Saccharomyces cerevisiae S288C: one gene and its partner. Each later gene encodes a partner of the first gene's protein in a complex. Each region holds a gene or a part of one and is shown on either strand. Other genes may lie near its edges. A codon is read from its position in the direction of its gene.

What was found.
Region 2: the proteins of SHE3 (region 1) and SHE2 are in contact, whole or in part, in a crystal structure (PDB 4WNL), measured with the Saccharomyces cerevisiae proteins. Residues at the interface, in NP_009688.3 of Saccharomyces cerevisiae: Val363 (codon at 2,964), Leu364 (codon at 2,967), Pro365 (codon at 2,970), Gly366 (codon at 2,973), Val367 (codon at 2,976), Lys368 (codon at 2,979), Arg369 (codon at 2,982); in NP_012792.1 of Saccharomyces cerevisiae: His150 (codon at 2,219), Lys153 (codon at 2,228), Trp157 (codon at 2,240), Glu190 (codon at 2,339), Thr191 (codon at 2,342), Ile194 (codon at 2,351), Gln197 (codon at 2,360), Glu198 (codon at 2,363), Ile199 (codon at 2,366), Leu200 (codon at 2,369), Leu211 (codon at 2,402), Ala214 (codon at 2,411), Trp215 (codon at 2,414), Ile218 (codon at 2,423).

What each region holds. Positions count from the first base shown.
Region 1 is NC_001134.8:494,548-498,746, reverse strand, and holds SHE3 (She3p), read left to right. Parts: upstream 1-1,877; coding exon 1,878-3,155; downstream 3,156-4,199. Other genes in the region: CCZ1 (Ccz1p), read right to left, coding at 1-1,584; OPY1 (Opy1p), read left to right, coding at 3,408-4,199. UniProt on the Saccharomyces cerevisiae protein: RNA-binding protein that binds specific mRNAs including the ASH1 mRNA, coding for a repressor of the HO endonuclease. Part of the mRNA localization machinery that restricts accumulation of certain proteins to the bud and in the daughter cell.
Region 2 is NC_001143.9:194,788-197,799, reverse strand, and holds SHE2 (She2p), read left to right. Parts: upstream 1-1,771; coding exon 1,772-2,512; downstream 2,513-3,012. Other genes in the region: MYO3 (myosin 3), read left to right, coding at 1-1,451; RMA1 (putative tetrahydrofolate synthase), read left to right, coding at 2,934-3,012. UniProt on the Saccharomyces cerevisiae protein: RNA-binding protein that binds specific mRNAs including the ASH1 mRNA, coding for a repressor of the HO endonuclease. Part of the mRNA localization machinery that restricts accumulation of certain proteins to the bud and in the daughter cell.

The DNA of each region.
Region 1 (4,199 bases):
AGTAAATTTTGGAGACCCAAATGGAACGGACGAGTCGATTTCTTTGGTGACGTTATCTCTGATCACATAAGCAAAGGATTCCACGTTATCGCAATTTTGAGAGTTTAAAATCTCATTGTTTAGGCATTCCATACTCTGACACAATTGGAAGCTCAAGTCCTTTAGATAGTCTCTTTCACAAATCTTGTTGAAGTCCGGATCACAGACAATTACAATTAAAAAATCATCAAAGTACCAAAATAGGCAATTATAAAAATCCTCCTTGTCTTTGGAGTTTTCAAAGTTCAAATTCAGTTTCAGGGCTTGGTATGATGATGGCAACAGGTCTGAATTCAATGGGGAAATTAGGAAACCAAATCTCGAGTTGCCTATCGTCCCTCCAACAGCCTCTGATTGCGCCATCAGTGGGGCATTCGAATTTGCGTTATCATTGCTATTTGAGTAATTATTTTTGTCGGCACTTTTGTTAGAGGATGAAATGAACGGCCAATGGGGCTTCGGTACATAGTCCATTATCATGGATAAGCTACCCGAAACACCAGTCGTGGTACTCACTTCATGTATAGCGTCGTATGCAAAAGAAATGGGGAGTGTTACGTTGTGTATCACTCTTTCCGATAGAGAGAGTTCGCTTGTATTGTTTTGCGTAGTCTCTTGGTGCTCCCGTCGCTGTTGCTCCTGTGATTCCTCTTCGTCTCTTCCGTTTGTATCACGACTTCGCTCTTGTTCTTCTTCTACTTGTAGCTCCTCTTTAAAATGGACATTTCCTGTTAATATATGACTTGATATTTCACCATAGGTGCAGTGCAAATGATATAGCCAATTTGAGATATCTGGTAATGTGTTCAGGTCACTGGTAAAGTTCCTTACTAGTCCATAAGTTTTTGTTCCCATAGACTCCCTATTAGCCGCTTTGGTGCGCTTTGGTAGGTGGTAAACCAAAATGTCCTTTAGTCCTAGATAACTCTTTTTATCTAAAAGAATATTCTGCAAGATTATAGCGTCCCATGACTCTTCGACATTATTTTTTTCTCCAGGATTATAAGAGGAATGTTGAAAATTTGCCCTTTTATAAAAACCAGGCCACATTACAGTAAATGATCTATTCGTTACAGTTTCTAGATTCAAATAAATATCATTCCAGAACGGAATAACGAATTCGTTCAACAAATCCGTGAGTTTGCGGAAGTCCTTGTTAAATCCGCTGAATGACCCATTGAGTAGCTTGAAGAACCTGTAACTAAGCCATAAGTAAGCACTGAGATACTGTAAAGGTATGGCACTCTGATCGTCGCTGATATTCGAAATTGCTAGACTGATGAAAAATCTTGATTCCACCTTAATACAAAAAATAATATCATTGTTCAGCTCAATAATTTTCTCTAAATCTTCGCCGTCCTTGTTTACGCATGAACTCGTAAGTGACCAAATGCCCTGTATTACTCCTATGATGGACAGTTTTTCGTTTAAAGAGGGTATTGAATCAGTAGTGCCAAAATAATGGAACAGCAGCAACTGCTTGAAAGTGTCATTTTCGTTGGTAGATCTTGATGGATCAAAAACCGTAATATAGTGTAGTCTCATATCCGTCTTTCATATATCAATTTAATAGTTGTACGATTTAGAATGTATTTTTGGTTCCACGTCAAATGAAACTATTTCCCTATTGCTACTACATATTATTGTCATCGCAATAAAATAGGCTAAATAGTTACCCGCTCGTTTCGTCTTTTGTTCGGGCGAGAGCTTCATTACTAACTACTATTGCATTTTGTTTATTGATTTGTTGCCATGAGTAGCAGCAGTCTGAAGGGGTTACCAAACGTTAGCTCGTCTATCAAGCACGCCAAGGTTCAACGACACTACTTTTGTGTAAGATGTCGGACCAGGATAATACCCAGACTTCTTCAAGCAAGTTGGCACCTCACCATAATATTTTTATGGCAAACTTGGAAAGTTCCCCCACAAAAGATAGAAATACCTCCAGCCAAAATGCCTCATCTTCGAGAGTCATTGAATCACTGCATGACCAGATTGATATGCTGACAAAAACAAATCTACAATTGACTACGCAATCTCAAAATTTATTGAGTAAATTGGAATTAGCACAATCCAAAGAATCAAAACTACTGGAAAATTTAAATCTGCTGAAGAACGAGAACGAAAATCTCAACTCGATATTTGAAAGAAAGAACAAGAAGCTAAAAGAGCTAGAGAAAGATTATAGCGAATTGAGTAACCGTTACAATGAACAAAAGGAGAAAATGGATCAATTGAGTAAATTGGCGAAAAATTCTAGTGCCATTGAACAATCTTGCTCTGAAAAATTGCAAAATATGGAAGTTAACTATAATTCATTATTGGAGTCACAAAATCTTTACAGAGACCACTATTCTGATGAAATTTCCAAATTAAATGAAAAAATCGGTTTGTTGGAGTTAGAGTTAAGTAATCAAAATTTAAATTATGGTTCAGATACTAGTTCAAATTCAGATATAGAATTGAATTTAAATAAATTCAATGACTCTGTGAAAGATTTGAAATCTCTGGAAACAGAAAAGGATTCAAAATTAAGCAAGATAATCACTCACTCTTTAGATGAGTTAAATCTACAAAGCTGGCTAAATCTGTACCAGACGAACGAAAATCTGATATCAACTTTTGCTGAAAAGATGGATTTGAAAGACGTCTTGAAAAGAAACGATGAGAAGATTAGTAATAAAGGCGCGGTAGTACAAACCTTGAAGAAGAATGTACAAACCCAGGTGGAAAGCAACAACGCTGACGCTTTGAGTAGCAATAATGCACAGGATATGCTTCCTATTAAGATGGTCAAATTAAGAAAGACGCCGAACACAAACGATTCATCCTCCAATGGTAATAGCAGTAACAATAAAAGAAGAAGTTTCTATACTGCGTCGCCTTTGCTGTCATCGGGTTCTATTCCAAAATCTGCATCCCCGGTTTTGCCTGGTGTTAAAAGAACTGCCTCAGTAAGAAAACCAAGCTCGAGCAGTAGTAAAACAAATGTAACGCATAATAACGATCCAAGTACATCTCCCACAATCTCAGTGCCTCCCGGTGTTACAAGAACTGTTTCCTCCACTCATAAGAAAAAGGGAAATAGTATGGTTGTTCACGGGGCCCAATCCTAGAATATGCCGACACAAGGGAGTATATATATAGGATTCATTTAGATAATAGAACAAAAGTAAATAGATGCCTCTAAGGTTTTATAGACACGAATCCATATTTTTCACTTTCGGTCACTCACAACGGTTTTTTCTCTACTATAATGTGGCTGAAATTAAACGAACAGGCCAAAATGTGGTACGCAATAGTAGCCAGTAGGTGAATTAACCATAAATAATTACGCTAATTTTGCCTTGGTAAATTTCATAAGACCAATGATAGCAGGTGCGACTGCTCCGTCAAGTCAGCATGAAATTTTGATCGCATCGAATCTCATCAAGAAGCCATCAACGTCTCAAAATAAAACGCCGACAGCTCAATCCAGTTCAGGTAACAATGGAGCTGCTGATGGTGCACCGCAGGGTTACCATCATCACCATCATCACCATCGTCATTTATGGTGGCCTCGGACAACAGACCATCAATATTGGTGTGTCTTGAGGAAAAACCAATTTGCCTATTACAAAACTCGGGATGAAAGAGAGGCTATAAGTGTCATACCGAGATTTGACATACTTAATTTTAAGATAAGCGAGCTCGATGGTATATTAACTGTTTATACTCCATCCAAGGATTTAATATTCAAATTTCCACGAGGGCAAAATGAGAAGGTTGGTATGGAACTGATGCATAATTGGAAAATTGCCCTTGAAAAATTCCTCTCTAGTCCTAGTGGCAACGAAAGTGTCACTACAGGTAGTGATTATGATGAAGAAGAGGATGATGATGATTTAATTGTAGTTGACGAAAAGGCGGGTCCTTCTAGCAGCAAGCATTCTTGCAGTTTGACGATGGATGAGCAACTGTCTCGTGAAGATAAAGAATTTTATAGGATGTTCGATCCAAGAAATGCAGAGCACCAGGTTTGTTCTGGGATTCTTTACACAAAAGTGAAAAAGAAGAAACTGTTCAATAGGGCTAAATGGCAAAAGTTCAATGTGGAATTGACTAATACTTCGTTCAATTTATACTCTTTCAAGACTGGGAAGTTAAAGAAAAGCATTAAA
Region 2 (3,012 bases), on another chromosome or scaffold:
CCTGCAATGAGTCTAAAACGAAAGGATCGTACATCAGAAGACAGGTAGGAATTAAGGATAAAGTTGTTTTTTCGATAAAGGGGGAATGCCTGCACTCTAAATTTGGCAGATCAGCTCAAAGATTGAAAAAAGTGTTTATCTTAACAAAAAAGACATTTTATATTATTGGACAAACACGGGAACAGAATGCTATGAAATATACACAAGATTATAAAATTGATGTCGGTAAAATTAAACAAGTGAGCTTAACAAACCTCCAAGACGATTGGATGGGCGTTATCCTTGTTAATAGTACACAATCCGATCCACTCATTAACACGCCTTTCAAGACGGAATTAATGACACGTTTGAAAAAATTAAATGAAAAGATAATGATAAAAGTTGGTCCCACGATTGAGTATCACAAACAACCAAACAAGTTGCACACTGTCCGCTCAAAGATAAGCGATTCAGCACCGAAATACGGTGACATCTACAAGTCAAGTACAATATACGTGCGTCGTGGACACCCTGCTAACTCCAAATCGAATAAAAAACCTAAGAATCCAGGTGGGTTGAGCGGGAAACCTATCAAAAGCAAAAAGAGTAAACACAAATCTACTCATAAGCATACACATAGCCATAGAAGTCATAGGGATGCTGCAAAAAAGCAACCTCTCCCTTCGCAAAAACCTGTGAATCCGTTATCTTTGGCAGCTACCGCTGCACAGGCAGCATACAATCCTAAACCGGATAAGACCGTACCAATAAAGTCATCTGCAATCCCTGCTGCAAAAGTAAGCTCGAAACACAGCTCAAAACCCTCATCGAAGGAAAAAGTCGCAGTAAAGAAAGCCTCCTCAAGCCACAAATCCTCATCCGCCAAGCAAAACCAGGTATCGATGCCACCTTCAAAAGGGGTTGAAAAAAATAAAGAACCGTTAAAGGAGACAACTGCAACTGCAACTGCAAACATACCAATACCACCACCCCCTCCCCCCATGGGCCAACCAAAGGATCCGAAATTCGAAGCTGCATACGACTTTCCAGGTTCCGGATCATCTTCGGAGTTGCCATTAAAAAAGGGCGATATTGTATTTATAAGCAGAGATGAACCTAGTGGTTGGTCTTTAGCAAAGCTTCTCGATGGAAGCAAAGAAGGTTGGGTTCCTACTGCTTATATGACTCCTTATAAAGACACAAGAAATACGGTGCCTGTTGCAGCGACAGGGGCAGTGAATGACGTTACAAATCAGAAATCAAGCCAAATCGACAATACCATTTCAAGTGCACAAGAAGGTGTACAGTTTGGAAGTGCAACAGTTGGACCCACTAGTGATAATCAGAGTAATCCGGTGGGGACGTTTAGCGACGGTTTAGCTTCTGCATTGGCAGCAAGAGCAAACAAAATGCGGGCGGAAAGTGCTGACGATGATGATAATGACGATGGCGATGATGATGATGACTGGTAATTAACATGAATATATAGATGTTTAGTCTCTTATAGAATGGTTCTTCGTGCATGCCTCTTAACATACCAAAAGTGCATTACATATACTTTTAAACATACTCTCGCAGAAAGTTAAAGTCCCTTTTTTTTTTTTTTTTTCATTTTTTGTTTGTATTTTCCCGTTTTGAAAAACTCCCACTTTAATGCAGGACATCGTTCAAAACAAGCTTTAAAGATTTGACAGTAAAATCCTCACTTTACTCAAGACATTTTTCTCAAAAAAAGAGAAAGCACAGTAAACCCTCCTTAATTTTCCTTTTGCATAATACCAGACACTTAAAAATGAGCAAAGACAAAGATATCAAAGTCACTCCTGGAACTTGTGAATTAGTTGAACAAATACTCGCCTTACTCTCCCGGTATCTCTCATCTTATATTCACGTGCTGAACAAGTTCATCAGTCATTTGCGAAGGGTAGCTACGCTACGATTCGAGAGAACTACTTTGATTAAATTTGTTAAGAAATTGAGATTTTACAACGATTGTGTGTTAAGCTATAATGCATCAGAGTTTATCAATGAAGGTAAAAACGAATTAGACCCAGAGGCGGATTCGTTTGACAAGGTAATTTTACCAATAGCTTCAATGTTTGTTAAATGTGTTGAAACGTTTGACTTACTGAACTATTATCTAACGCAGTCATTACAAAAGGAAATTTTATCTAAAACTTTGAACGAGGACCTAACGCTAACAGCAGAGTCCATATTAGCCATTGACGATACCTACAATCATTTCGTGAAATTTTCTCAATGGATGATTGAGTCTTTGCGTATAGGCAGCAACCTGCTAGATTTAGAAGTTGTTCAATTTGCCATTAAATGCGCAGATGAGGACGGAACGAATATCGGAGAAACTGATAATATCTTCTTGCAGGAGATTCTTCCTGTCAACTCCGAAGAAGAATTTCAGACCTTGTCAGCTGCGTGGCACTCCATTTTAGATGGTAAGCTGAGCGCCTTGGACGAAGAATTTGATGTTGTCGCTACTAAATGGCATGACAAATTTGGTAAATTGAAAAACTGAGGCCTTCAGTTTTTAGCTCAAAAAGAGCAAATAAGTACCACTAGTTAATAGAACATATATATATACATGAATAGCCTCATCACATAGCACAGAAAGTAAGCTTTCAAAACACTGATGATCGGCTCTTATTCTGGCGTACTCATTTTCAGCATCTCAAACCGCGCTGTTTTTTTCTCACTTTTTGATACAATAGGTATGCAAAGGAGAATGGCAGGTGTGCCAAGGAAAAAAAATATGAGGAACTATAGCCTAAAATGAAGCCTCCTCTGATGTGGGAGGGACCCCAATTTAGGTCAATAATGATTTTTTAAATTTATATTCTTGTCTTAATGAAACTTGAGTCAAGTCGACCAGTTTCCTGACGATTTTGATATAGAATAATATTGCTCGTTTGGCCGGCAACAGATTACATAAGAAGCAGATGGATGATATAAGCGGAAGGCAAACTTTACCTCGAATAAACCGTTTGTTGGAGCACGTGGGAAATCCCCAAGATAGTT